Stegostoma tigrinum: one gene and its partners. The protein of the gene in region 1 binds, or shares a complex with, the protein of each later gene. Links are inferred from orthologs where the notes say so. Each region holds a gene or a part of one and is shown on either strand. Other genes may lie near its edges. The genes, in order: smarcd1, pbrm1, dpf1 and arid2.

Region 1 (7,290 bases):
CGAACAGCAGCACTCCCTCAGTACTGCACTGTGGTGCGTCACCCTCACAGTCATATAGGCCCTTCGGCCCAACGCATCCAGGTTTCCCAAACCTTCCAGTCATGGTAACATTCTTGTCAATCATTTTTTTGCATGCTTTCCAACTTAATAACATTCTTCCTATAATAAGGCAACCAGAATTATACACAGTATTCCAAAAGTGGCCTCAGCAATGGCCCTGTACAGCCACAACACAATGTCCCAACTCCTATACTCAATGGTCTGAAGTAATGAAGGTAGGTACCCAGAACAGAATTATAAACTAAAAGTAAAACCCTGTGGTTGCCAGAAATCCAAAGCAAACACAGAGAATGCTGGAGAAACTCAGCGAGTCGGGCAGCGTCTGTGGGGAGAGAAACGAGTGAGCGTTTCAAGTCTGCAGAACATGAATTGTGAATGTACACTGTAAAGATAAACTGTAAGGACGAGTTTAATGAGGCTTGTCACAGTCCGAAAAGCAGTCACGTTGAACTTGTAACGTTAACTCTCGTTTCTTTCTCCACAAGGTCTCGGAGGGGAACTCGCAGGGCAGTGGTGTTCCCATGTGTCTGCTGCCCTTGTCCTTCTAGATGGAAGTGGTCATGGGTTTAGGAGGTGTTGTCTGAGAATCTTTGGTGAATTTCTGCAAAGCCTCGTGAAGATAGTTCCTATCTCTCTCTCCCTCTTACCCCAACATGAATCGATTCAAATTGTTCCCCTACTCGGGGCGACCGAATTAAGCCTCGCCAGATGGGTAACAGATTTGTCGTGGTGTGAGGCTCCATCACATCTTGCTTTATGACAGGGTAGAAAGCTTCTATTTTTCTAGCCTTTCTTCTTGAATGGCAGCCTACCATTACCCTTTGCTGTCATGTAGTCCTGCAGCATAACCACGGTCTTGTCCAAATGCAATTTACGTCCTCGAATTTGTACCATCCACCTTCCCCTATGCAACACAGATATGGCAGATCCACAGAACCGTAGCAGCTTACAGGAGGTCATTCAGCCTCTTGAGTCTATAGTGGCTCTCCAAAGGAGGAACTCAGTCAGTCCCACTCCCCCTTGTACCCCTGAATAGGATTCCTTTGCAGATTCTTATCTCATTCCCTTCCTGAAAGCATTGATTAACCCTGCCTCCATTACACTCTCGACCACTTGCATTGTAGACTCTAACCACTCGCTGCAGTAAAAGGGTTTTTTACTGTGTGCTGCCCTTGTATATTTCACCAATCACCTTACACCAGTTTTCCTACCACTCTGCCCAGACCTTTCTTCATTTTGAACAGATTCCCCCTCAGTCTTCTCTTCTCCAAGGGGAATAGTCCCAGCTTCTCCAACCTACTCAAAGTGTCTCACCCCAGGACCATTCTCATGGATCTTTCCTTCACCCTCTCACATGCTTCATGTAGTGCAGGACCCAGAACTGGGCGTAATCATCCACTAAAGGTCAAACCAGTGTTTTCTAAAGGTTCATCACAGAATCCCTATAGCGTAGTAGCAGGCCATTCAGGCCATCAAGTCCACGGTGACCCTCCAAAGACCATCCCATCACACCCCCACCCCTCAATAACCCTGCATTTCCCATGGCAAACCCACTTAGCTTCCTGGACACCATGGGGCAATTTAGCATGGCCGATCCACCTAGCCTGCACATGTTTAGACTGTGGGAGGAAACCGGAGCACCCGGAGGAAACCCACGCAGACACAGGGAGAATGTGTAAACTCCACACAGACAGTTGCCTGAGGCTGGAATTGAACCCGGGTCCCTGGCGCTGTGAGGCTGCAGTGCTAACCACTGAGCCACCGTGCTACCCTTACATGCTTTTACTCACAATGCTTCGATATATAAAGCCTAAAGTCCTGTACACCTATGAAGCATTTCCTCAACCTGCCTTGCCACATTCCACAGTCTGTGTACATTTAACCCCACATCACTCTGCTCCTGCAACCTCTTTAGAGATGTACCCAACCTTATATGATGCCTTGCTTTGATCTTCCTATCAATATAGTTTGCTTCTTTGCATTACATTTTCCACATGTCTGTCTATTCTACCAGCCTATCCATGTTATTATGATCCCAACTGATGTTAGCACTGGAAATGCCAGATCCTGGGCAGAAATCTGGCTTGACAGATCGTATCTTGTCTTTCTTTAATTCAACAAGGTAGTCTTTCATTGAAATACAAACACATAATGCTATAGATAACAAGGTGTGGAGCTGGAGGAGCACAGCAGGACAGGCAGCATCATAGGAGCAGGAAAGTTGATGTTTTGGATCGGGACTCTTCTTCAGAAAATTCATTCCTTGAGTGTCCATACAACTGACCTTAGTCTTTCTCAGCTTCAAATAACTCCTTCAAGGTTCTAACCAAGCACTTCTGGTCTAGGGTTTCCAAGCTAAACTCCTGATGGTGAGGTAACCTATTTTCTTAACAATTCTTAAATATCGCCCTTCTTTAGAAGAGGCTATTTTACACATCTCAGGTTCACCAGGACATGAGCTATAGGTGTTTCCTCATGCAAAAAAAAGCTGATTTGTTTAACTGAAAGCCGAGCACTTCTCAATGTTTAGCCTGTTTACTCAGTAAGCTTTCCCAATACAAATACATTCCCACTGCTTCTCCAAAAAAACCCCTCTCTCATCGTTTTTTTTGAAAAGAAAAATGACAGCTCTGGATATAGTGGCAAGTTAATCATTCAGCTCTCTCTCATACACAGATCAAAGCCCAAATGCCACTAGTCCAAAATCCAAGTTCTAAACTAAATTATAATAAAACCTATATAAACCACACAGCTTACATCACAATGTCCTCATTCACTCTATCATCATCCTCCTCAGGGTTCACAATAGTTGTATCATCTGGAACTGTTGAAATAAGCCCTAGACAAGTAAATTTTGGTCATTAATATAGATCAAGGAAAGTAATGGTCCTCATTTCAACATGGCAAACTCTACTCCTCCTTTACAAAACAACCTTTCACCCCCAACTGTTCTCTGTCACTCAGTTAACTGCATAACCCCTGTTGCCACTGTCCCTTGCATGCCTCACTTTTGCCAGCAAGACCATTATGTGGCACTTTGTCAAATGCTTTTCAGAAGCCTATTTAAATCAAATCAGCTGTATTACCCCCATTAAACATTTGTGTTACTTCATTAAAAAAATCTCTATCAGGTTAGTGGAACAGGACTTGTCTTTAACAAATCCATGTGAGCTTTCCTTCGTAAATGAGTCAGGCGACGATTAATGTTAATCCCAATTATCACTTCTAAAAGCATTTTAACCATGTAGGTTAAACTGACTTCTTCTCTTCGTCAAACCTGAGCTCAGCCAGTATCTTAAGTATGACAGCGGCTTCCTCATTTGTGGCACGGTGGCTCAGCGGTTAGCACCACTGTGTCACAGCGCCAGGGTTTGATTCCACCCTTGGGTGACTGTGTGGAGTTTGTACATTCTCCCCATGTCTGCATGGGTTTCCTCCCACAGTCCAAAACTATACAGGTTAGGTGGATTGGCAACGCTAAATTGCCCATAGTGCAGGCTGGCTGGGATGGCCAAGGGGGATGCAAGGTTACAGGGATAGGGTGGATCTCAGTGGGATGCTCTTTGGTGGGTTGGTATGGACTTGATGGGCCAAATGTAAGGATGCTAAGATTGTTAAAAGCAGATGCAGTGTACTCATTTGATACCTTGGATGTGCATTTGTCCCTAACTGATCTATCCCTTCTCTTCATGTAATTTTGTTACTTACATATCCCAAAAAAGCTTTTGCATTCCCTTTTGAATTGACTGCCAATCTCCACTTATTTTCTATTTGTCTCCCTTCCTCACTTACCCTTTGAACTTTCTAAAAAAAACTCTCAATGATCAGGCAGCATGTAACTCACTGGAAAAGCCTTGGTTAGCCCAATGACTACATGTTACAACGTGACACCGAATAAAACCATGTGGATTTAACTCTCCCACCAGCTGGCGCTGTTCTTGGGGCCTTCTCCGTTATTTTGCAGTCTCCGCCCTGAGGGTGGCGCTGCTTCTGGAGTTCAAGACTTCGCCCTCAGTGTGACGCCATTTCTGGAGTTTCGCCCTTGTCCTGAGGATGGCCCTGTTTGTGGAGTTTAGTCTCCGCCCTGAGTGTGTCGCCGTCTCTGGAGTTCAGCATCCGCCCAGAGGGGGGCGCTGTTTCAGGCGATTAATTAACGCATGCGGGCTGGGCCGCGTACCGGAAGCAGTGTTATCGCTTTCCGGTGCGAAAGAGTTCCTTCTCGAAGATGGCGGCGCGAGGCTTCCAGACAATGAGCCCGGGCGCGGCGGCTGCTATGGCAGCGGGTCCGGGGCCTGGCCAAGCACAAGGGACGGGGCAGGCCCCGGGCAGGATAACAGGAGCTCAACAACAAAACATGTTCCGTTCAGCCATGCCAGGCCAGGGATACCCGGTAAGTGAGGGGCCGGGATATGGAACTATGTGTGATGAAGGGGGTGGGGGGAAAGGCGAGGCCCCTTGTCCTGACCAAGGCAGGTCCCATTCCTTAAATCGAACCGGCCACAGCCAGCAAGCTTCCTTTCTTGCCTCCTGAATGACCAGATTGGTCTTTCTACATCTGACCTGACCCTAGCTTCCTTTGTTTCCTTCAGTTGGATAATTGATTGCATCCCCTAAGGCTGCTTCACATTCTTGCCTTGCTCTTTAGGCCCGAACAGACTGGTTTGTAATGTCTTATGATTATTTTTCTACAGTTATGTAAGTTGAAAAGATTTTATTTTGAGTCATGTTCAGATTTGACTCTTAGTCTTGAATTTGGAAGCTAGTTGTGGTTAAATCTGAACAAGATGCTACTGATGTAGGAAACTTGAACTTAAAAAGAGAAAAATGCTTGATATTCTCAGGATCCCTGTGGCTTTGATAGAATCATAGGGGTTTTGTTCAAAGGTGGCTGATGTACCTGGCCTGCTGAGCAGTTTAAAACATTTTCTGTCCTGTGTTGAAATACAGGCAGATGGTGATGAAAGCTGTTGGCTGTGAGAACCAGGTGTAAATTGTGTATGGTAGATAGTGTTTCTCTCAGGCAGTGACTGAGAACCCTAGTTCACCACAAATTGGCCAGCAAATGTTAACAGAAAAGCAAAACTTGTATTTATATAAGGCCTTTCACAACCACCAAATATCTGAAAGTGCTTTTGATGAGTACTCTCAATAATAACACAGGAAACATGGCAATCAATTTGTGTACAGCCATCCCCCACAAACAGCATTGTGATAAACAATTTGTTTTGGTGATGTTGATTGAGAAATAAATATTGTTCAAGACTCCAGGGAGATTGCTACTGTACTTGTAATCACAGAATGATTATGGCATGGAGGGGTTGTTCAACTCTGCTGGCCTGTTGAAGAAGCAGTTTGCTTCTTGCCATTCTGCCTTATCCTGCAAATGCTTCTGGTTCAGACAAAAATACAAGTCTTTTTTGAAAGTCTCATTTGATCCTGCCTTCACCACACTTGCAGGCAGTGCATTCCAGATTCTAACTGCCTCATGTCTTAAATTGGTGTCTTCGGGTTCTTGATCCTTCAACTAATGGGAACCGTTTCTTTCTCTGTACTTTGTTCAGACCCTTCATGGCTTTGAACACTTCGATCAAGTCTTTTCTCAGCCGTTCCCAAGGTGAATAGTCCCAATTTCTCTAATCTGGCACTAGATCCACTTGACACACCACCTTCCCAAAATCTAGGCCCAGCTAAATCTTTCGCATTGGACTCAACATACTATTGTAGAAAAATTCTCCAGAGCACACTCTTTGTACTCTTGTTTGTCTCTTCCCTTTATGCTACTGTTATCTTAGTTTTTATTTGGATTATTAAAGTTCTCTCCCATTATAACTCCTCTGTGTAATTCTAATGCCTCTGTTATTTCCTTGCAAATTTGTTCCTCTACATTTTTCCCACTACTTTGTGGCCCATAGACTACACCAAGCAATATAATTAGACCTTGTTCCCTAGTTCTAAAACAGACTTTGTACTTGACACCCCTGAGGAGCACACTTTCTCCAGTACTGCAGTATCTTTCCTGGACACCTTTTATTCAAGCATTCTGAGCATCAGGTCCTTCTGTAAGTTTAGTCTTCCCATATGTCAGTTTGCACTTGTTGCTCACCAGTCTGCACATTCCCAAATGTCCACAATAATCCTAATTTAAACTTTATTCCTTCTCTCTTACTCCTAGTCTGACCCTGCCTGGTATGTTGCTATTGGCTATTCGAATGTTGTCTGTTTCTGCCTTTGCTTTCTACACCCCTGTCAGATTAGTTTAAATTTTCTCTGATAGCATGAGCGGCTCATCTTGCGAGAAAGTTGTTCTGAGCTCTGTAAGACATAGGAGGTGTGGAAGTAAGGCCATTCGGCCCATTGAGTCCACTCTGCCATTTAATCATGGCTGATGGGCATTTCAACTCCACTTATCCGCACTCTCCCCGTAGCCCTTAAATTCTTGATCTCGCAAGGAATTATCAATCTCTGCCTTGAAGACATTTAAAGTCCCAGCCTCCACTGCACTCCATGGCAATTAATTCCACAGGCCCACCACTCTCTGGCTGAAGAAATGTCTCCTCATTTCTGTTCTAAATTGACCTCCTCTAATTCTAGGGCTGTGCCTAGTCTCCCTGCCTAACAGAAACAACTGCCCAGTGTCCACCCTTTCTAAGCCATACATTATCTTGTAAGTTTCTATTAGATCTCCCCTCAACCTTCCAAACTGTAATGAATACAAATCCAGATCCTCAGCCGTTCATCGTATGTTAGGCCTCCCATTCCAGGGATCATCCGTGTGAATCTCTGCTGGACACGCTCCAGGGCTAGTATTGTCCTTCCTGAGGTGTGGGGCTCAAATTTGGACACAGTATTCTAAATGGGGCCTAACTAGAGCTTTATAAAATCTCAGAAGCACATCGATGCACCACTGCTACTGAGCATCATGTTAGCTATACCTGTATCCCTTTGCACAATTGATAATGAGATATCTATCAATTTATACCTTAAACATACTGAAAGACTGAGCGTCCACAGCCCTCTGGGGGTGGGGGAGAGAGTTCTAAAGGTTCACAGCCCTTTGATTAAAAGAAATTCTCATCTTGGTCCTAAATGGTATTCCCCTTATTTTTTAAATGGCGTCCCTCCCTCCCACTTCTCAACTCCCCAGCAAAGGGATGTATTTTGCTTGCATCTCCTCTTTATCCCTAAAATATTTTGTAGGTTTCTCATTCTTTGAAATTCTTGAGGAACAGG
Region 2 (7,420 bases), on another chromosome or scaffold:
CATTCTCCATATTTTCTCAAGGCACAAACAATAATTGATTTAAAGTTAACAGTATCAAATAGCAGTATTAAGCAATTTAAGGTTATGCCATAGACAAACATACAACTTGTAAAAATACAATCTAACAGAACATAAAGTGCTCACTTGGAAACACCACATTAGGACAAAAGGTCATCCGATTCATATGCAAAGTCCGTCTAGTCCAACTTCAGTTTTCTAAAGTCATAGAGCAAACTTCCAACCTCTGAGGCCTGGACCAAGTTGAAAGCATGTGGGGAAAATATACACACAAAAATGATACCCAAATCTTGCGCACTCATAAACAATACTTACTCCTACAATTGTCAGGCAGTTTCCCACCACCACCCTTGCCCAATCTTTTTCCATATTTGCTTTTCTTTTATATTCTTCAGTTATTACTTGCACAACAAACAGGGTACTGGGGTGGGGAACAGAAACAGCACATGGGAAAGTAACACAGCTGTAGCAAGGCAGATACCTTTACAGTATAGTCTCATTCATGAAATTGTTCCAATTCATGTGACTTTGTCTGATTCTAAGTATTAAATTGGCTAAACAAATACACTGCTTAACCATAGGAGTTTTTTTTCAGGGACAGTAAAAGGAAAATTAGACAACAATATCCTAAATCATATCTTATATTGGTTGGCCACACTCAAAGAAAGTTTACATGCTATTACGCAAAGATTTGTTCTGCTGAATGTCCTAGTTTTGTCCAAAAAAAGCCTTTCTCTTGTCTTTCTAAAATTTTTCTATGATAAGCTAGGGATGTCTATGCACTCCCAACATCTGAAACAAAAATAGAAATTGCTGGAGAAATGCAGCAGATCTGACAGCATCTGTGGAGTGAAAGCAGAGTCAATATTTTTGGTTCAGTGACTCTTCATCAGAATGCAACACTCCTGATATCACCTCTATCCTACCTCCTCCCAGTCATAAACTGCAGACAAAAAAATACTGCACTAGCACACTTCTTTCCACTTATGTACTGGTTTTGCAGCTGTCAAATCAATGTTCTATGCCTGTAACAAACCCTTCATGCAGGTGTTTTTCTTTACTTTCTGTTGGCTGGCAGGGGTAGCCAAATGTTTTGATTTATATTAGGCAGCCTCATATTTAAAGTTTTTACCAGCAGATACTGTACTAAAGTTAACATATAGCATGAGAATCAGGTGTAATGAGTTGGAATCGGTCAACTTGATGGGCTGAAGGGCCTTTTGTGGACTGAATGATTCTAATCATTGAGACAACATGGTTAACAGTACTTTCCAAACTATTAAGTCAGTGAAATTCAAAGAGGACAAATTAACATTTTTTAGAACAGAGAACAAAATAATTGTGCCGGCATTTTTAACAGGGTATCACCAGAGCTTACAGACGTAATTATCTCGTAATTTAAATAGTCAAATAATGGTGCACATCTTGAAGAAACGGATAATCTTTCCATAGATTCAAATGCAGGGCGCCTCAGTGCATAAAAATCTCTGGAGTTTTTTTGCAAAGAAGTTTCTTAGGAAGATAGTAATTTATAGATGGAAGCAGCATCGTGTTTATTGCCTGAATTCAAAATTAATTTTGATAATATCGAAGTGGATAACATACTGATATGTCAAAATAAATGTCAATCATTCACATTTGTTGAAGAAGTTATTTCAGTACTGACAATTTGATGGACTCACCGTAAAGATAGCAGACTAACTGCGTCAATGACAGGATGAACAGTCTATCTCACAAACTAATGAGATAAGAATTAAAAATAAAAAGAAAAGCAATGTTTGGAGAAATAGAATGGGTCAGAAGTGTGTAAAAAAAGGAAGAGAGAAATGTAAGCTTAAGTGGAAGAGAGTCAAAAAGGAAAAGTTAAACAACACAATTTATAATCTGTAGAGGAGATCCATCTGTCTTAATTATTTCCTTTTAAAGTTAGAGATGAGGTGACTTTGTGGAAACATGAATCTTGTAATTAAAACAGTTCTTACACCATTTAGTACTAGTCCTGCTTTTCTATAACAAGTCAAAATTCATTTTAACAGAGCAAATAGAATAATTTCTTAAAAGTCACAGGTCAGCTGGCTGCCAGCTCCTGCTTTCGCAAAGCAAATTTTGTAATAACATGCAACACATCAGGTTATCTCAAAGTTGCCATGAATAGCTGCGCTACTTACAAATTCATAACTTACAGTGAATTCACTGTTACTTTCTCAGCAAATTCTGGCCTAACGTTTTTGCCCAGTGGATCTTAGTAAACTGTGACTATGTGGAAAATTTGGTTTAATTGGACAACTTTTTTAAAAACTGAAGTGCCATCTTAGAAATGTAAATATGCTTAAAATGTTGTTATGACAACAACCATAAAAATGTGGCATGTTCCCCTAATCAGGAAGTGTTCTATTCCTAGGATTACCGGCAGATTTTATTCCCCGATTGTACGCAGCTCCATTTCAATTTAAAATAAACCCACTGACAACAATACTAGTTCATTGTCTTGACATCTTAAATGTACGTTCAATCACTGAATATCCAGCAACGATGTCTGGATGATGTAGGCAGGGTACATTTCATTCATACCTTTGGAACAGGGCGAAAAATAGGCTTAAACGTAAAAGTTAAAATATCTGCTTCCTTTCAATATGGGCAGAAACAAAAACAGCTCATTTAGGCGCTGAATGAAAGGTGGAATGAACTGAGAGGTGGACACAAGCCATCGCGCGGTTGAAATCTTGACTCCCGGGAGCTGACTGACAACAAAAGAAGCAGCGGCCTGAGCCTCACAAACACCTTGGCAGCCACGCAAAAACAAACTGGAAAAAGACTGCAGGCACAACTTCCACACATCACTCATCTCAGTACAACTCAGCAACCGAAGCCGTCCTTACCCTACTCGGCTGATCCCGAAAGAATATATGATAAAATAATAATAATAACAACAAGAGATCCACAGTCTCCTCCTATACCCAACTATGCCCCTATCGTCAGCATCAGCGGCTCAGCCGTAAAGCGGGTCGGGGATAGAGTATTGACGACATTGACGTGCTCTCTCACTGTGTGTTTACGGCAGGCGATGGGACGTTTGGGACTTTGTCACGTGGATTGCTCTTTTTGCAGCCGGACGGTATGAAGCGGCCGAGTGAGTTGTGTGGCGTGGAATTGTAGTCTTTACTGTTCGTTACATTCTTTTTTTTATCCGCAGGAGTTAGTATTGTTTCGATTCATTGCCCTCATTGTTGCGTTTCCTTACAGAGCTGAAAAAGGCGAGCAAGCGCCTGACATGCCACAAGCGATTTAAGATCCAGCGAAAGGTGAGCCGGGGTGGAATCCACGAGTTGTGGACGCCCCAATATTGGGTACATTGTTCGCTCTGGGAAAGCTTGTGAGATATAATAACCGGATCGTAATGTATTGAAACTGGCTAAAGAAAGAGCAAGTACTTTTATAGCCAACCTGAACTGCGCCAAGCCCCTTCACAATCACCTAAGTTAGTACTTGTACGAGCACGTGGCTTTAAGGCAAACTGCGTAACACATAGTCAAGTACAATTTGGTATAAACTCTTAGTATGCAGTTCGAGCACCTTGCAATTTTTGTACATCACGCTATTTAGAAAAAGTTTACTGCAGCCTATTCACATTTTTAAATGATTGGGCAGGAGTATTGGATGATTAGATTATTAACAAAGAGCAGATGAAATGCATTTTGTAATGATTGAGAAGTTCAGGATACGGATTTAAGATGGAGTTTTGGAAATCTTTTCATTATGTTAAGCTGACGGAAGAGAGATAAACAAGAATAGAGTGGACATATGTGAGCATGACTTATGGTCCTTGTCAACTAAATGTCAACAGACATGTTTCTGTTGTAATTTTAGTGTTTATTCTATATACTTTTTGTAATTCACTGCTTGAATTAGTGTGCAGTTATACCTCATTGATATTTCAAGAAATTTGCAATTTACAATCTATAGAGCCTTTTTGAAGAAAACCACCCAGATTTGACCATTTTTAATAACGTGACAAAGAAACATAGTACTGGGTCATTTGGCCCTTCGAGGCTATTTCTCCGTTTGGAACAATGGCTGATAATTTTGGGGTCTCAGTCTCACAATTTGACTGACTCCATAAACCTTGGATGTGTGTCAATCTTTTTAATTTAGCCTTTGATAAATTTTATATTTATTAGATTGGATTAACTGCAGTGTGGAAACAGGCCCTTTGGCCCAACAAGTCCACACCACCCCTTGAAGTATCCCACCCAAACCCATCCCCATTCCCCTCTAACCCACGTACCCCTGAACACTATGGGCAATTTAGCATGGACAATCCAACTAGTCTGCACATCTTTGGACCATGGGAGGAAACCGGAGGAAACCCACGCAGGCATGGGGAGAATGTGCAGAATCCACACACAGTCACCCAAGGCTGGAATTGAACCCGGGTCCCTGGCGCTGAGAGTCTGCAGTGCTAACCACTGAGTCACTGTGCTGCCCTAATTTAGTGGCACAATTTCCAGTGGAAGAGATTCCACAGACCAACCGCCCTCAAAAAAAAACTTTCTCACTTAAATGGGAGATCTTTTAAACTTGTACTTTGTTTCTCGTGCTAATCTTCCCCACAAGTTGATAAAACCTCTCAGTAACCACCCTATCAAGACCCCCCAGTATTTTAAAAACAAGAATTGGATTTTAGAAATCTGAAACACACACAAAATGCTGGAGAAACTCAGCAGGTTTGACAGCATTTGTAGGGACAGAAACAATGTCTCAAGTTCATTGACATTTGTTGTGACAAAGGGTCAGTGGACCTGAAATGTTGACTCTTCTTTGCTCTCTGTAGACACTATCAGACCTGCTGAGTTTCTCCATGTTGTTTGCCCCAGTATCTTGTATATTTCAATAAGATCATCCCTCATTCTTCTCAACTCAGTGAGTACAAGCTCGGTTTTACTTCTAAACTACTTCTAATACAGTTCTTTTTCAACTGAGGAGAACAAGACTGTATCATTTTCCTGGTGTGGTCTCACCAATGTCATGCACAGCCGCATCTAAACATACTCTGCTTTCATGCCTTTCCCCTTGCAATGAGTACCACCATCCCATTTACCTTTCTAATAACGTGCATGCTTAATTTGTAATTTATAAATCAAAACATCCATCCTCTGTATTACCAAGTTCTGTCGTCTACCTCCATTTAAATAGTGTATGGTTTTTCTATCTTTCCAGTCTAAATGAACAAGTGCTCCTGGGATGCTGCTTGGCCTGCTGTGTTCATCCAGCCTCACATTTTATTATCTTAAGTTCACATTTTCCCCCATTATACTCCATTTGCCAAATTTTACCCATTCGTTATCTTGGAATATTATATGTGATTATCAAAACTGCTTTGAGTGACAGCCAATATCATGGTGCAATAATCCTATAAATTATTTACATTCCTTGATCACTTAAAATCTGTACATATTGTTCAACCTCTGTATTAATATGTGGAACACTGCAGGTGTTACCATTTCTGGACACATTTTTTCAACTTTCAATGAGGTGCCAGCCAGCAAGAAAAATAGTGCTGTTGTAGCGTACAATGCAAAGAAAGAAAGAAACTCGGCAATTATTTTGTTGGGAACTTATTCGAATATATTATTAAACACAGAATGACTGGACACTATAAAAAAAGTGCTGATTAGACAGAACAAATGCAGACTTGTAAAGGATAGGTCTTGCCTAATTAATGTAATTAATCTTTTTGAGCCAGTAACTACTGTTAGGAGGAAAGTGTCTCTATCTAGAAGTTATGAGCTTGATTGGAAAGGAAATGGCTAATAGAGCCCAACAAATATCAGTGCTTGGGCCTTCAACTACCATTGTCTTAATGATTTGATAAAAATAGATGGCAACATTTGTTTGCAAATGATTGCTGTTGTTCTAATTAGGTTAGAAAATAGCACAAGATTACAGAATTGAAAGATTGTAAGTGGACAAAGAACACTTGCTGACACCACCAAAATGGTCTAGATGTGCAAGTGTAAAAATGAGCATGCATAATATGTTTGCCGGTACTGTCAGTGACATCATTCCATCATGTTTATTGTGCTTATTTGGGTGCTGTGTTTTTACGAGTTGGGTGTTTCATGAAGTGTGCATCTGCTGAACTTGCCACATGTACAATCTGAATCTTTTTTAAAGTGTCAAAAGAGAGAGCTGTTGACAAAACTTCTAGATGAATTGTAGGTAAGTGTGAGGCCATCCATTTTGTAATTTAAAAAATATATTTTCAATGGCAAAAAGCTAGGAGTCATAGAGATGTACAGCATGAAAACAGACCTCTCGGCCCAACTCCTCCATGCAACCAGATATCCTAAATAAATCTAGTTCTATTTGCCAGCATTTGGGCCATACCCCTCTAAATCCTTCCTGGTCATATACCGATGTGGATGCCTTTTAAATGTTGTAATTGTACCAGCCGTCTCCACTTCCTACAGCTCATTCCATACGTGCTTCACCCTACGTGTGAAAAAGTTGTCCGTTAGGTTCCTTTTAAATCTTTCCCTTCTCGCCTTAAACATATGCCCTCTAGTTTGATCTCCACTACCATGGAGAAAAGATGCCTATTCACCCTATCCATGTCCTTCAGCCTCTGATGCTCCTGGGAAAATAAACCTCCACCACCCATAGATTGGGATATTAGAGATTTAGAAGTCTATGGACACATCACTATAACTAAGTTGTCTTGTAAAATAATCAAGACGCCATATGGAATGTTAGCCTTTGTGATTAGAGAGCTGGGATAGAAAAAGGAGGAATTGTTGCAGCAGCTATACAAGGCCCAGTTCAGACTGTATCAGGAGCACTTTGTACAGCGCTAGGCTTTGGATTTTGGAAGTTATCCATTCAACTGGGAACGAGTACAGTGCAGATTCACCGGAGAATTAAATTAAAAACAAAATTAAATGTATCTAGGATTAATCGTATTTTTAAAAAAGTTTATATTTTCTCTGAATTGAAAGCCCCATCTAACTGGAGTCTGGTTGCAGCAGCATTGTTAATGTTTCAACTTAAATCATAGGTTCGTGAACATAAGCGGAAAACACGAAAAGAAGCAAAGAAACAAGGAAATAAAAGTAAAAAATCTCGAAAGGATCCTGGTGTGCCTAATAATGCTCCATTTAAAGAAGCAGTTCTTCGAGAGGCTGAACAAAGGAAACAAAACGTAAGAGGACTCTGCTTATGTACAGATGTTTGATATTTTATAGTACTTTGTCTGACGCAAGCTTCTATGCCAGTTTAACTAAATTAGTGACTTCTGCATTTACGATGCCATAATTTGAGATAGCTGACATCTTGAAATATGTTGTAATTTCCTCAAACTCAAAATGTGTTTGAGTATGTAACCCGAAGTTATCTGGTATGTCTA
Region 3 (7,613 bases), on another chromosome or scaffold:
CTGTCCTGCTTTGACACCATCACTTTGATAAACTGTTATGATCTCTCTACTTTAATTAGTTGGTGCAGTTTTATATTGTTGATGCTCAGGTTAGACCCTCGGCATGCGATTCTCGAGCCCCCTCATGTTATTCCAGCCATTTGACTCATCTCCAGCACCACCTTAATTTTATTTTTTTTTGTAATTATCTCCTTGCCTCATTAATTGGATTATAGGTCATCCCTTCACTTGTTATTCACACTTTACTCACACCATCTGACACTGCGGATCACTTACAGAGTTTATTACTGATACTCCACTCATACTAGTGTGTGATCTTTTGATCTCCCTGCCTAGAACATAGAACAGTACAGGCCCTTTGGCTTACAATGTGCTGAACTTTTATCCTAAACCTAAGGTATATCTAACCTCCACCCCTACCTTATACTATTATCCATTTGCCTATCTAATAGCCGCTTAAATGCCCCTGATGAGGCCGACTCTACTACCGTCTCTGGCAATGCATTCCATGCCCCGACCACTCTCTGAGTAAAGAAGAACCTACCTCTGATGTCTCCCCTATATCTACCTTTAAAACTATGTTCCCTCATAATAGTTACCCTCACCTTAGGAAAAGGTCTCTGGCTGTCCACTCTACATACACTTCTGATCATTTTGTACACCTCGATCAAGTCACGTTTGCTTCCCTCTCACTTCACCTGACAAAGGAGCAGTGCTCAAAAAGCTTGCGATTTCAAATAAACCTTTTGGACCGTAACTGATGTCGTCTGATTTCTGACCTTGTCCACCCCAGTCCAACCAGCACCTTCACATCATCCTCAATACCTCTTCATTGGATAGCCCCATTATACTAGGAATCAGTCTCAGGGAACCTCTGTTTGCGGTACATCCTTCCTCAGATGGAAGGATTAAAATCGGGAATGCTCAAAAGGCTGGAATTTGGTGGGTGCAGAGATCTCTGATGGCGGCATGGTGGCTCAGTGGTTAGCACTGCTGCCTCACAGTGCCAGAGACCCGGGTTCGATTCCATCCTCGGGCGACTGTCTGTGTGGAGTTTGCACATTCTCCCCGTGTCTGCGTGGGTTTCCTCCAGGTGCTCCGGCTTCCTCCCACAGTCCAAAGATGTGCAGGTTAGGGTGGATTGGCCATGCTAAATTGCCCCATAGTGTCCAGGGATGTGTAGGTTAGATGTGTTAGCCATGGGAAATGCAGGGTCACAGGGGAAGGGTAGGGGATGGGTGGGAAGCTCTTCAGAGGGTCAGTGTGTACTTGTAGGGCTGAGTGGCCTGTTTCCATGCTGCAGGGATTCTATGGTGATGTGCAGGTTAGAGTGGATGGGCCTTGCCAAATTGCCCATAGTATCCAGGGATGTGTAGGGTTACAGGGGTTTGGGGTGGTGGGGTGGTGTCTGAAGGTGGGTTGTGGACTTGATGGGCTGAATGGCCTGCTTCCACACTGCAGGGCTTCTAGGTTCCCAGGGTTGGAGGTAGTGGGGCTGGAGGAGATGGCAGAGATAGAGGGAGGCCATGGAGGAGATCTGGAAACCCAGTGATAATGATCAAATCAGGGTGTTTATTGAACAGCAGCCAGCGCCAACCAGTGAGCAAGAAATTGTAAGCACAGAGGTAGGCCATTCAGCCCATCAAGTCTGCCCCACCAGTCAATGAGATCGTGGCTGATAGGTTGTGGGGGGGATATTGAAAAGAAAGGTTGAAATACATGAGATAATGGGAACTGCAGATGCTGGAGAATCCGAGACAACAAAGTGTAGGGCTGGAGGAACACAGCAGGCCAAGCAGCATCAGAGGAGCAGGAAGGCTGACGTTTTGGGCCTAGACCCTTCTTCATTTTCTGAAGAAGGGCCTAGGCCCGAAACGTCAGCCTTCCTGCTCCTCTGATGCTGCTTGGCCTGCTGTGTTCATCCAGCTCTACACCGTGTTATCGCAGATTCTCCAGCAACTGCAGGTCCTACTATAGCTGAGAAAGTGTTAGGAAATTCACATTTTAACATCTCAGTGGGAGCAGCTCTGACAGTGTAGCTCACTCAGAGATAGTAAGAGCTGCCGATGCTGGAGTCTGAGATAACACAGTGTGGAGCTGGAGGAACACAGCAGGTCAGGCAGCATCAGAGGGGCAGGAAAGTTGACATTTTGGGTCAGGACCCTTCAGAAATCTGAAGATTTCAGAAAACCATTTCTGAAGAAGGGTCCTGACCCGAAACAGCTGCCCGACCTGCTGTGTTCCTCCAGATCCACACTGTGTTATCTCTGAAAGTGCAGCCACCGGGAATATCAACCTGGAACAGGTGCTCAAGTCTGGGGGGTGAAGGGGGTGGAAAGGGGATTGAACACATCCCTTCCATTGACGAGGCGGTGTTGGTGAGAGCATCGCATACCAAGTGACTTTAATTCTCCTCCCCACCTCGAGTTGCCCCTGTATCACATGCGCCGACCATTACATCCAGCCAAAATTGAAAAACAAATGAAACTTCTGGTGGTTAATTTTCTGCAAACGTCAACACCGCCCATTTGAAAATTTAAAGATATAAAACTCTGCAAAAGTGGGGGTGGCAGGGACTGCACATGTGGAGTGAGCTCTCTTTGGCACTTCAAGTGCTCATCGAAACAGTTCCCCCAAAATATGCTAAGAGCTCCTGCCTTTACCACCCTTTTGGACAGTGAGTTCTAGATACCTCTGGGTAAAAAAGATCTTCCTGAAATCCCCTCTGAACGTGCTGCTCCTTGTCTTTAAACTGTGACTCACAGTGAGAGACCTCTCCACTAGGGGGAAAGTTTCTCCCTGTCTATGCTGTTCAGATTTCAGTGCACCCTTGTCAAGCCACCCGCTCCGCTATAGGGAAATTAAGCTCTCCCTTCTCTCTTCATAGCTGAATCACTCCAGCACCACATGAACATCCCAGTTAATCTCCTCTGCACCCTTTCTCTCTCTCTACAGTGCAACAAAATCCCTGAGGTTTGTCTGTTTGTAACTAGGTGAATCTCCTCTGCACCCTTTCTCTCTCTCTACAGTGCAACAAAATCCCTGAGGTTTGTCTGTTTGTAACTAGGTGAATCTCCTCTGCACCCTTTCTCCCTTTCTCTACAGTGCAATCAAATCCCTGAGGTTTTTCTTTTTGTGACTAGGTGAATCTCCTCTGCACCCTTTCTCTTTCTCTACAGTGCAAACAAATCCCTGAGGTTTTTCTCTTTGTGACTAGGTGAATCTTCTGTGCACTCTCTCTCTTTCTCTACAGTGCACCAAAATCCCTGAGGTTTCTCCGTTTGTAACTAGGTGAATCGCCTCTGCACCCTTTCTCTCTCTCGACAGTGCAATCAAATCCCTGAGGCTTCTCTATTTGTGACTAGGTGAATCTCCTCTGCACCCTTTCTCTATCTGTACAGTGCAGTCAAATCCCTGAGGCTTCAGTGTTTGTAACTGGGTGAATCGCCTATGCACCCTCTCTCTCTCTCACTACAATGCAATCAGATCCCTGAGGTTTCTCTGTTTGTAACTAGGTGAATCTCTTATGCACCCTTTCTCCCTTTCTCTACAGTGCAATCAAATCCCTGAGGTTTCTCTGTTTGTAACTAGGTGAATCTCTTATGCACCCTTTCTCCCTTTCTCTACAGTGCAATCAAATCCCTGAGGTTTCTCTGTTTGTAACTAGGTGAATCTCTTATGCACCCTTTCTCCCTTTCTCTACAGTGCAATCAAATCCCTGAGGTTTCTCTGTTTGTAACTAGGTGAATCTCTTATGCACCCTTTCTCCCTTTCTCTACAGTGCAATCAAATCCCTGAGGTTTCTCTGTTTGTAACTAGGTGAATCTCTTATGCACCCTTTCTCTCTTTCTCTACAATGCAATCAAATCCCTGAGGTTTCTCTGTTTGTAACTAGGTGAATCTCTTATGCACCCTTTCTCCCTTTCTCTACAGTGCAATCAAATCCCTGAGGTTTCTCTGTTTGTAACTAGGTGAATCTCTTATGCACCCTTTCTCCCTTTCTCTACAGTGCAATCAAATCCCTGAGGTTTCTCTGTTTGTAACTAGGTGAATCTCTTATGCACCCTTTCTCCCTTTCTCTACAGTGCAATCAAATCCCTGAGGTTTCTCTGTTTGTAACTAGGTGAATCTCTTATGCACCCTTTCTCCCTTTCTCTACAGTGCAATCAAATCCCTGAGGTTTCTCTGTTTGTAACTAGGTGAATCTCTTATGCACCCTTTCTCTCTTTCTCTACAGTGCAATCAAATCCCTGAGGTTTCTTCTCTTTGTGACTAGGTGAATCTCCTATGCACCCTCTCGCCCTCTACAATGCAATCAAATCCCTGAGGTTTCTGTCTTTGTAGTGAGTGGGCATTGCCACCCCAGGGAAAAGGGGACACAAGAGGGGAGAGGACTACAATTCCCAGTCGGCACAGATTACTGCCCCCCATAGTGGAGGATAGCGTGGGGGGATGGACTACAACTCCCAGCAGACACTGGGATTACCCCCCATTTCCCCCCAATCTCGCCCCCGGAGCTGAGGCGCAGGCGCGGCCACGCCCCTCTCCACACAGGTGACGTCGCTCCCCAGGCACCAGGGGGCTGCTGATTGGCTGTTTCGTGGCCGCAGCCCTGTTCCATATTGTGAATGGTCCAAATGAAATGTTAAAACCACAATTGTGATCCTACTGTATTTTATTGTATCAAAATGGCGACAGTCATTCAGAATCCTTTAAAATCGTGAGTATCTGCAAAAATTTCTGCCTTGCATTTTTGCAATTTCCCCAGACCTTTCTTGCATTTGGCAGCCCTCTTAAATGAAAAAAAAACTTGCATGCAATTCAGGAGAGGTTTTGCAATAGATGCCAAGTGCATTACACTCAATAATATTCTGCACCCTTCTATTAGTGTTGCATTTTTTTTTCTTATGCAGGTTGCATTATTTCTAATTTTTTTTCAATGTTGTTCTATTTAATTTTCTTTTTTTTGCCCCCCCCCATTCCCCTTCCATTTCAGCTGGAAACTGTTTGGATGCAGTTGCCTCCTCACCTTAAAGGTGACTTGCTGGCATGTGGAGTATATTGTAGCCCAGTGTTATATGTGCTTTACAGTGCTGGCTAATGGGCTGATCAGGGCTCAGCGGCAGCGAGCCGCTCGCCTTTAATGAGAGCAAGGGGAGGGCTGCAGCCACCCGCGGCTCGCCAGCGCCGCCCGGGGGCAGACGCTGGGGACTGCAGGGTAATTAAAGGCGGTGGAGCGGGCGGCGAGACGTTGAGCCGACAGAAAACAACCCCCCCCCCCACCCCCATCAAAGAATATCTCCGTTTGCTGTTTTGTTATGTTGAATACCTGTTTCAGTTTTGCAACCAAATCTGAAAGCTCGAGATTTTTGTCATACTTTTGATTTAGTGAAATGTCATTTATTTTCATTTTTTTGCCTTGTGTGCCTGATAAATGCCTCTCTGAAGGTTAGGGAGAAATGGGTTGTGTTTTCTTTTCAAATGTCAGCCTCTCTTGGTTCCCTGCAGCAATTCTGAAGATGCAGGAGGGGGATTGACAGCACTGAGGGCATATAAAACACATTGCACCCCCTTCCCCAACCTCCACCAGGCACCCATTTCCATCCTTGGTGCGTGTTCATCAACCACACAGAAAGATGAGGGTAACTGTGAACACTGATGGTCACCAAACCCAGCAGTGAAGTGGAATACTGCGGACTTCAGATAGAACATAGAACATCGAACATTACAGCACAGTACAGGCCCTTCGGCCCTCGATGTTGTGCCGACCTGTCGTACCGATCTCAAGCCCATCTAATCTACACTATTCCATGTACGTCCATATGCTTATCCAATGACGACTTAAATGTACCTAAAGTTGGCGAATCTACTACCGTTGCAGGCAAAGCGTTCCATTCCCTTACTACTCTCTGAGTAAAGAAACTACCTCTGACATCTGTCCTATATCTTTCACCCCTCAATTTAAAGCTATGCCCCCTTGTGCTCGCCGTCACCATCCTAGGAAAAAGGCTCTCCCTATCCACCCTATCTAACCCTCTGATTATTTTATATGTTTCAATTAAGTCACCTCTCAACCTTCTTCTCTCTAATGAAAACGGCCTCAAGTCCCTCAGCCTTTCCTCGTAAGACCTTCCCTCCATACCAGGCAACATCCTAGTAAATCTCCTCTGCACCCTTTCCAAAGCTTCCACATCCTTCTTATAATGCGGTGACCAGAACTGTACGCAATACTCCAAGTGCGGCCGCACCAGAGTTTTGTACAGCTTACAGATGGGCAAAGAGTGAGCCTCGTTTGGCTTGGCCTCTGATGCCCACCTAGTTGAATAGCCTGGGAGCAACAAATCAAGTATGCAAACCCACAGAGTGGAAACATTACCCCTGGGGGGTTGTCAGGATTGAGTGCCACACAATGCAGTTTTAAGGCCTGTGAGAGTAGGGCCAAGAGGAGAAATGTTTACCCACAGTGAGTGGTTAGGGTCTGGAATGTGCAGCTTCAGCTGGCAAAACAGACCTGGGTACCCGCTGAAGGAGATTGCGCCCAGGGCTGCGGGGAGGAGGTGGGGGGAGTGGGACCTCCTTTGGAGAGCCAGCCCCTACACGATGGGCCGAATGTCCTCCTCCTGCACTGTATCCTTTCTGTAATTCAGTGCTCGGGTTCACATTGCTAGGTCTTGGGGGTGGGGAGGGATTCAGCCCTGGACAGGGTCAGCATGAAGGGGGTGGGGGCTGCTGGAGGAACGTGTCGGAATTGGTAGGGACTGAATTTTAACAAGAGAGGGTCAAAGAGTGAGGCGTTTGCACGAGGTCAGGACCAGATGGGGAGACCAGCAGCAACTGGATGAACACAACACAGTCTCACAGCAGTGACACTAAGCACTGCTCCCCCCCCCCCCCCCAACAGTCCGTTTCAGCTGAAGGGCCAGTGCCCCTCGAATATTTTAGCTGTCTTCCCCCCCACCCACCCCGCCATGAGTCGCAATTAGATGGTAAGGATTCCTAACGGTCCCAGTCCCTGAACAGTTCTCTCTGAATTATTTTGGAGGAGAAAGGCACCGAGGAGCTCACGCTCAATGGTCAGCAGTTAGTCTGGATTCTGCAGGAATTTTGGGATGCACAGGGAAAGGATACCCTACACTTCACCAAACACTACCATCCCCCGCCTCCGCATACCTCCTCCCCACTTCCCAAAGATCCTGGTCCCACTTCACCTCTGCCACTATTGCCCTCCTCCCTCTGCCCTTTCTCCCTCAACCCTTCTTTCTTTTTCTCCCTCCTCCCCGCCTCTATCTCCCTCTCCTCTCCTCTCTAAACACCCCCCAAACCTCCTTTTGTCACCAGCCCATTCCCCCAGCCATTCCAGCCTCTTCACCCCTCAGCCTCACCTCCTCCCCCTCACCTGTCCACCTATTCTCCCCTTTCCTCTTCTCACAAAACCTCTCACTCTCCACTCAACCCCCTCCCCTCCTCCCTCAAGCCCCCCTCCCTTCCTCCCTCTACTCCCCTCCCCCTACTCCCCCTCCCTCTACTGCCCCTCCCCTCCTCCCTCTACTCTCCCTCTATTCCTCCTCCCTCCATTCCTCTTCCCTCTGTTCCCCTTCACCTCCTCCCTCCCT
Region 4 (7,917 bases), on another chromosome or scaffold:
GTATGGTTGTGCAAAGGCCCTGTATAAAATTGTAGTAAGACACCCCTGCTTCTGTACTTAAATCCTCTCACTGATATACCATTTACCTTCTTTACCACTTGCCTACCTTCAACAACTGAAGTACATGAAGGTGTAGCAAGGACATCCAGGTCTTGCTGCACATTGCCCTCTCTTGGTTTAGTGATCTGCCTCCCTGATTTTGCTGCCACAAATGGGCAAACTCACATTTATCCAATGTGCTGCATTTGACACATTCGTTCAGCTTGTCAAAAATCAAGTGAAGCAGTAAATATCCTGCTTGTTACTTCAAAGAATTAGTCAATAATAGAACCGTATATAAATTTCACAAATCTATTGCCCAACTGACTGCAGATTTAAAATAAATTTTACACTGGCCAAAACGTTTATAACATTTGCTAAGCATTTATTAAAATATTAAATAAATTGTTGAACTGCTGCAAACAAAAGACAATACTATTTCAACATAATCATCATATTACTTCAAAAAAACAGCTAAATCTTGAGTTTCAGTTGAATTGTAGTCAAAGAAAGGACAAGTCTAATGGAGGTACACTAACTATGAAATAAGTAGTGTTGTCATGGCTGGTATGGAAGAGAGATAGTGGGCAAAAAAGAAAATACCATTTAAAGAACTGGAAGAAAAAGTATTATTTAATACTTGCAATGATAGAGTAAATAGAGTGTCTAGTCACAATCTTTGAAATATGCAAGTACGAAAGTGGTGCTAAATCTGCTGGCAAAAGAACAGAAAACTGACAGATTAATGAAATGTACTTTTTAGTGGGAAGATGTAAATGGTAACAACCTTCAACGTGTACGAAAATCATAGCTATTTGTCAGACTGTGGTCATGGTCACGTCTGTTCTCCTGGCCAGAAGGTTCACTTTCTGGATATGTGTCACAACACTGATCAGTTTGATTAAGAACATTACTGGATTTAGTTATGAGAGCCGCAATTATCAAAATGCTGACAGCACAGTGACCGGTGCTGTATGACAAGTACATGACAAAAGAGATTCCGCATGCCCGTGGGCACCCAAAATGTGAACGGGCATTCCACAAGCACTACTTTTTAGCAACTACTAACCAATGCATATTGTAGGCCATCCACTTTTGGAAACAATTTATCAGCAAGGAAGGTAACTCATACTCTCAACCAAAGGAACTTAGATTTTGGAACATTGTAATTTAAAGCTCCACGGAGAGGATAAAATTAGGTGTCCATTTTATGGATAGCAACTTCTCTAAAAAAATTGATTACTTCGATCAAAGGCACTGAAAGTTCCTCCACAAGATGTTTGTCATTTGCCATACACAACTAGGGTGAATTGCTTTTTCCTCCTGTTGGAGGAAGTAGATTAAATTATGCAAAACAAACTGTACTAGCATCTACAAACTTATCTGTGACTGGCCAAAAAGAGCTTAAGGAAACTTTGATACCATGAGCACATTATTTTAAACCACCAACCCAGCAGCTCAGCAAATTAAAACATCAAATGGCTGAGCCATTAGCTCACAAACTATTAAGATTTGATCATCAGAATCTAAGGGAGGCTATTATAACTAATTCAGCCACATTGGCCCGAGCATGAAAATGCATGAGCTTCTCATTGCTCTGCTACAAAGAATCCAAATTAGCAGAAATTTACAAAGGACATGGGGTTGGGGGCAAAGAGGAGCAGAAGCAGAAAGCAGGAGAGAAAGAAAGAAAAAACAGACAGGTTCCAGTCTTTACAAACCCACACTGGCATCAGGTCAAAAAAAAATGAAGTTTAGAAATCTGGGTTCCAAGTACATAACGTGCTATTTGTAATTTTCAAAAACAAACTAATTTATTAGCATCTAATCACAGCTGAAGATTAGTGACTTTCTCTACTGTTAAATTTGTACTTAAACTATATCCCCACCTCACTGAGAATTAATCACCTCATCAGGAATCTCCATTTTCCCTTTCAAGTCCTTCAATATGCCGACATCCAATGCACGAATGAGGTGAACTGCTGATTACTACACAACTGTCTAAATGTACTTCTAACAGTTGCCAATCTTTCTGTTAGTCTCACCACACTATCCCTTCATTTGTGGGATAGACTGATCTAACCATTGCAAAACCCACCCCTAATTCTCCAAGGTAGTTATGGTGAGAAGCTTCCTTGAACAGTTGGGTGTATCTACATTATAGGTCCCAGAGTCCAAATGTCAAAACCATCTTCTTTCTGTTAGCTATGATTCTAACAGCAAAAGCAGAGATTGTTCCTCCCAATTTGCATCGAGTCCAGTTTTACGAGGGATCCTCAATGCCACCTGGTTAAATGCAAGCCTGAAGTCAAGGGCAGTAACACTCACTTCCCCTCAACTTCAGCTCTTTTCTCTATGTCTGAGCCAAGGCCATAATGAGATCAGGAGCTGAGTAGGTGTGGTGGAACTCAAACAGAGCAATGAACTGGGTTTTGTTGAGTGCCATTTGACAGCACTGACCATGCCATGATTCATCCTTTAGGGTCCACAGCTTTTGCAGTACGCAGTTCTGTTAGCTGCTTCTTGAACATCACAGTCAATAGAACATATAATTGGCAGAAGTCTGACAACCTCAGGAGGTCACGTGTCTACTTAGCACTTCTGACTGAAGATGCTTGCAAATGCTTAAGCCAAATCTTTTGCACTGATGTGTTGGCCTCCAACTTATTTGCAGAACCACTTCCTCAAATGATCTGTTTAATTGTGCACCAATTGATGTGGAAGGACTGCACAGCTTACAGTTGGTTCTATTAGGCATGGGATTACTTAGCTCTATCACATGCAGTTTACACTTAAGCTTCGAAGGCTCACTGAAGATGTTACCTAGAATGGTGACGAAACGTCTGAAAACTAACCTTCCAGCTCAGCGAGCAAACTCACATCCAGAACCTCAACCTGAGCTACAAGTCTTCTCAAAACTTGCTATGTGTTGTTAAATTTTACACAAGTTTTTAAACATGTAAGGGGATGTGATAGCATGGTCGGTATGCTTGCTAGATGATTAATCCACAGATCCAGATAATGTTGAATAGTGGAATCTAAATTTGATAAAAATCTGGTATTAAAGAGTCTAATGATGACCACAAAATCATTGGCTGATTATCGAAAAAAAAACACTTATCAGGTTCACAAATGCCCTTCAGGGAAGGCAACTGCCCTACATGTGACTCCAGGCCTGCAGCGGTGTGGCTGATTCTTAAATGTCTTCTGGCAAATTCGGAATGGGCAATAAATGCTGGCCCACCCAATGACACCAAGTGTTGGAGGGGTTGTCAAAGAGGAGTCTCCAGTCCTGTGTCTAGGAGCACACATGGATCTTCATTCACAACTCTTTACTATGCATCATGAGGGGTGTTCCAAGTCAGTGTTACTGGAACACACTGCCTGCATCCCCAACCCCCCAGTCAAATACACTAATAGACAATAAGAAAAACTTGAGATAACAAGGTGTGGAGTTGGATGAACACAGAAGGCCAAGCAGCATCTTACTCCGTCTTCCCTACCTCCCCACCTACACTCACCTTTACTGGCCCCATCCCTGCTTCTAACTTGTCTGTCTCCTCTCCACCTATCTTGTCCTCTATCTATCTTCGATCCACCTCTCCTCTCTCCCTATTTATTTCGGAACACCCTTCCCCTCCCCCATTTCTGATGAAGGGTCTAGGCCCGAAACGTCAATAAAAAGCTTTACTGCTCCTAACATGCTGCCTGACACTCCTTATGCTCCATGGTAATTTCGATATGCCAATCCCTCCGTCAAGCGCTCAGGATGTTGTGGTAGAAGCATATACAAAGCGGTATGAATATTATCAAATGAAGATTCAATTCTTTTCCGCTTGACATTTGAGGGTCTCCGAGTACCTTGGAAGGATTTCGGACGAAGATAAGCTTCTGTTGTTTCCCTACACACGCATCTCCAATAATTCAACCCTCAGCCCGAGCACGATAAAGTAAGGGTCTAGGCCCGAAACACCAGCCTTCCTGCTCCTCTGATGCTGTGTTCATCCAGCCCTACACCTTGTTATCTCACAACAAAACCCACTGGTCCGGGATATCCCCGTTGATGAAAACACCTGCAAGTCAAAACAACTGCCTGCCCTGGGGCTCCCTGTCAACTTTTAAGCAAGAACAAGACTAAAAGTAAAGTACCCACGACTGTTTTTCACCAAAGCACACATTATTTTAAAGGAAGACCTATCATGTCACTCTAAAAGCCGAAAGGCAAAGAGCAAAGAAAATAATTAGAAGCATTAACTCTGATTTCTCTTCGCAGATATTGTCAGGCCCGCTGAACTTTTCCAGCGGCTTCAGTTTTTGTTTGACTTAACATCTCTCCCTTCACACGGAGGCTCACACAACACTGTTTCCAGCAGACGACGGCCACCACCTTCCTTTTTATAAACTATTTTTAAATAAAAACCACGAAAAAGATCGCAGCGCTGCGCCTTCTTCAAAGGAGTCCGCCTGATTTGAATAAAATCCTCGCTACACATAATAACAAATAAAAAGACACACATACTGTACGCATAAATACATACGAGTCAGCGTTTGTGCGGGAACCATAGGGAGAGAACCGAACGTCTCCTCAATCCCTGTTGGGCGCCGCCATTTTGTGAGCCGTTACCCCGGGACTGGGCGGGAAAGTGGGCGGAGGATGAAGCAGCGCGAGAGAAGGGGAAACTTGGAGGGGGAGGAGAGAGCAGCGCGAGAGGCGAAAGTGGGCGGAGTAGAGAGCGGCGCGGGCGGGGAGGAGGAAGATAGACGAGAGCTAGAGTGGGGGAGGGGGAAGGATCCGCGATGGGGGAGGGGTGTCGCGTAATGGTTGAATAGTGGCACCCCCTCCCGGGGCCCAGGCTGTGGTGGCCGGTTTGGTTGAGACGAGGCGCTATTGTTTCGCTTCTCCGAGGGAGGTTCGAGCTGCCGCCGGTGTTTCGGCCGCCAACAGCACCGCCGCTGTGTTTTCATTCCTTTCTCCCCCCCCCCCAAAAAATTATATATAAATGTGTGTGTGTGTGTGCGTGTTATGTTTTTTTTTGTCCTCTCCCGTGTATGAGTTAATGTTAAACTGCATGGAGCCGCTGCAGCCCGTCTGAAAAGAAAAATATATTTATACCATAAATACACACACTTATATTGTCTACCACATTAACATACAATAGAGAACAAGATGTAAGTTGTTTTTTTGTGTGTGTTTTTTTTGGTTGAGAGGAGATCGAAGAGTGCAGCGAGTGAGTAAAAGCGAGTCTTTGCTCTTTTTTCCTCTTTTTTTCTCTCTCTCTTAAACTTTCGCACTCGCTCCATCAATGACTGAGCGGCGGCGGCGGCGGACCGGCTCTCCTTCCAGACATTGACTAAGTTCCCCGAGGCTTTTTATTTTTATTTATTTATCCTTTACGCCCACCCCCCACCCCTTAAAAAAACTCTCTCTCTCTCTTTCTCTCTCTCTCTCTCCCTCTCTCTCTCTCTCTCTCCCCCCCCTCACACACATACAACAATGAAAAAGATGGCAAATTCGATGGGGAAAATGCAGCCGTCAGACCCGAGGAGAAAAAGGCAGGCGTTCCTGGAGGAGCTGCGGCAGTTTCACCACAACAGAGGGTAAGGATTTTAAACACCCCCCCCCCCCAACCCCGAAATTTTTATTTATAATTTAAGGGGAAAAACCCGGGGGATACGTTGGGCGAAACTTTGGACGGGCGCTTTGGTGAAGAGGAGGTGAGGGTCTGATTTTATTCTTCTTTATTTCTACCCCCCCACCCCACCCCACCACAACCACTTCTTGTTCAGGACGCCTTTTAAAAAGATCCCAATAGTTGCCGGAAAGGAGCTGGATCTTCACGCTCTCTACACCAGAGTCACCAGCCTGGGAGGATTCGCCAAGGTGAATATCTTGTGTCTGTTGTGTTTAATTTAATTTCTCGCCGTACGCGCGTCTTAAAAATCTGTTATCACCACCAGCACCCCCCCCCCAACGTTTCCTTTTTGGAAAACCCGCTCGGAAGGGCTGTAGTTTTATTTTTAAAGGTTTACAAAGGAAAAGATTTCTGTCGTGTGTGTGTGTGTGTGTGTGGCAGTGAAGCTGTAAATGGCAGTTGCCTGTCTCTGGCCTGGCGTTGCAGTTGCTGCGGCTGCTTCACTGCGCGCACTTCAGCCAAGTCAAAATTAGCGGGCATGCTTAACATCGATAATCGTGAGTGTGCCTGGGGTAGGAAATGCTCTTCAGGGGACAGGCTCGCACCACTCGTTTGCCTTTCTTTTACTCGCCGCAGCGGAGGGGACGGAGCTCTCCGCTGTGTCAGGCTTCGTGGTTGAGGGGGAAAATCGTAGGCCTCACGTAGGCCCGTAGGGTGGCCCGAACGTTTGAAAATGCGAAGACTTGTCGACCCCCCTTTTTTGTCTTCTGAACCAGGAAAGTGTTGCAAAGTTTTTGTTTTTTTTCGCTCCTGACCCGTTTTTTTTCTTTCTCAGGCAACATTGCGGCGCTGTTCATGTTGTTTTAAAGCCTTAGAAGGAACAGATGGTATATTCTGCTATCTGATAACGTGTCTGCATATTAATCAGGATTATTGTGTTTTTTTGGTGCAGGTAACTGACAAGAACAAATGGTCACAGATAACGGAGGAATTAAACTTTCCGAAAGGTTGTCCGAATGCATCATTTGCCTTAAAACAATATTACTTACGGTGAGCTTTATAATGCATTTTATGTTCGGTTCAAGTCGATTCTTGCTATAGCTGTTCAAAGTTGGGAACAAGGGATTTAATTTAGAGAAAATAGTGATACTATTGCAATCGTACCTTCTTATTTTTCCTCTTGAAAACGACATTTATTTTACTTTTTGTAGAAATGAAATAATAATGCTTTTTAAGTTTTTGAAATTGATGTTTGAACTGTTGTTTCGTTTTTGGGGTTTTGAAGTATTATGGCGAGTTGATCTAAAATGTATTAAACTTACAGAGCAAGAACACTGTACAGGTGTGACCCAGTTTTACGGTAGTTTATAGTTGAGGCGTTCTGCAGCATTTACAGCAGTTCAGAAACTACCTGGAAGGAAGTAGCATACGTGAAACAACGCAGGTGTTTTCTGTTGGTAAATTTTGTTGCCAGAACAGAATTTTTCCAAAAACCAATCAGTACTCCAGCTTTTTTCAAACTTTTCATCAGGGAGATTTTGACAGTAATGCTTGATACAGTATGTATCTTTTTTATTTAAATGTAAATCCATAACTCTTTCAAAACAGTAAAACCAGTTTGATGTAGAAGGGCTATATTTTGTAAATTGGTTTAAAAGTGTGTAGTGTCTTGTTTTGTCCCAGTATTTTTATTTCCTTTCTTTTGCAAGGATGGTTAATTTTTTTTGAAAGTTATGGAAATGAAATAATTTAATGGTGGATTCACTGAGCTGAGGCAATTTTTCCACTGGATGTTGGGATTGATGGGAAGTTTGTGGATAAGAATGAGGTGAAAAGGCAAATTTGGTTTAAGCATTATGAAGATGTCGTGCTTTGGGAGTACTTGGATTCTGAAATAGTTGGCTTTGTGCACTATTTCCACTCAATAGTGTTGTACAAATTTAGTGGTTCAAAATAAAATTAACATTTCAGAAGCCTTGAACAAGCAGTGCAGAAAATTTTGTCGTGATTAACTTGCACAACGTTTAAAATTTCCAGGTTAAGGTTCAATAACGGTTGCTTCTGTTCATTTCAATGATATTGTTTGTGTGTTCTAGAAAAGCTGCATCTGTTTGAATTCAAAAAAATTCGACAGCTTATCTGACAACTTTTGGGTAACTTGGTATGAGAATACTTGAATGTAATTTGGTCATATTTAAGTAATACAGCAGAGAGTATTCCAAATGGATTTGAGAGCATCTGTTGG

Evidence for each region.
Region 2: smarcd1 (region 1) and pbrm1 share a complex: the UniProt entries of both Homo sapiens proteins name them as parts of the SWI/SNF-B (PBAF) chromatin remodeling complex. The link is inferred for Stegostoma tigrinum from reciprocal best matches to the Homo sapiens genes SMARCD1 and PBRM1.
Region 3: smarcd1 (region 1) and dpf1 share a complex: the UniProt entries of both Homo sapiens proteins name them as parts of the neuron-specific chromatin remodeling complex. The link is inferred for Stegostoma tigrinum from reciprocal best matches to the Homo sapiens genes SMARCD1 and DPF1.
Region 4: smarcd1 (region 1) and arid2 share a complex: the UniProt entries of both Homo sapiens proteins name them as parts of the SWI/SNF-B (PBAF) chromatin remodeling complex. The link is inferred for Stegostoma tigrinum from reciprocal best matches to the Homo sapiens genes SMARCD1 and ARID2.

Annotation. Positions count from the first base shown.
Region 1 is NC_081404.1:15,152,333-15,159,622, forward strand, and holds the start of smarcd1 (SWI/SNF-related matrix-associated actin-dependent regulator of chromatin subfamily D member 1), read left to right. Parts: upstream 1-4,271; 5' UTR 4,272-4,285; coding exon 4,286-4,450; intron 4,451-7,290. UniProt on the Homo sapiens protein: Involved in transcriptional activation and repression of select genes by chromatin remodeling (alteration of DNA-nucleosome topology).
Region 2 is NC_081364.1:19,748,778-19,756,197, reverse strand, and holds the start of pbrm1 (protein polybromo-1), read right to left. Parts: upstream 3,015-7,420; 5' UTR 2,898-3,014; intron 252-2,897; 5' UTR 185-251; coding exon 145-184; intron 1-144. Other genes in the region: gnl3 (guanine nucleotide-binding protein-like 3), read left to right, coding at 3,136-3,148, 3,262-3,320, 7,073-7,216. UniProt on the Homo sapiens protein: Involved in transcriptional activation and repression of select genes by chromatin remodeling (alteration of DNA-nucleosome topology). Required for the stability of the SWI/SNF chromatin remodeling complex SWI/SNF-B (PBAF).
Region 3 is NC_081392.1:15,780,059-15,787,671, forward strand, and holds the start of dpf1 (zinc finger protein neuro-d4), read left to right. Parts: upstream 1-4,608; 5' UTR 4,609-4,688; coding exon 4,689-4,720; intron 4,721-7,613. UniProt on the Homo sapiens protein: May have an important role in developing neurons by participating in regulation of cell survival, possibly as a neurospecific transcription factor. Belongs to the neuron-specific chromatin remodeling complex (nBAF complex).
Region 4 is NC_081371.1:57,499,500-57,507,416, reverse strand, and holds the start of arid2 (AT-rich interactive domain-containing protein 2), read left to right. Parts: upstream 1-4,913; 5' UTR 4,914-5,533; coding exon 5,534-5,637; intron 5,638-5,826; coding exon 5,827-5,920; intron 5,921-6,624; coding exon 6,625-6,722; intron 6,723-7,917. UniProt on the Homo sapiens protein: Involved in transcriptional activation and repression of select genes by chromatin remodeling (alteration of DNA-nucleosome topology). Required for the stability of the SWI/SNF chromatin remodeling complex SWI/SNF-B (PBAF).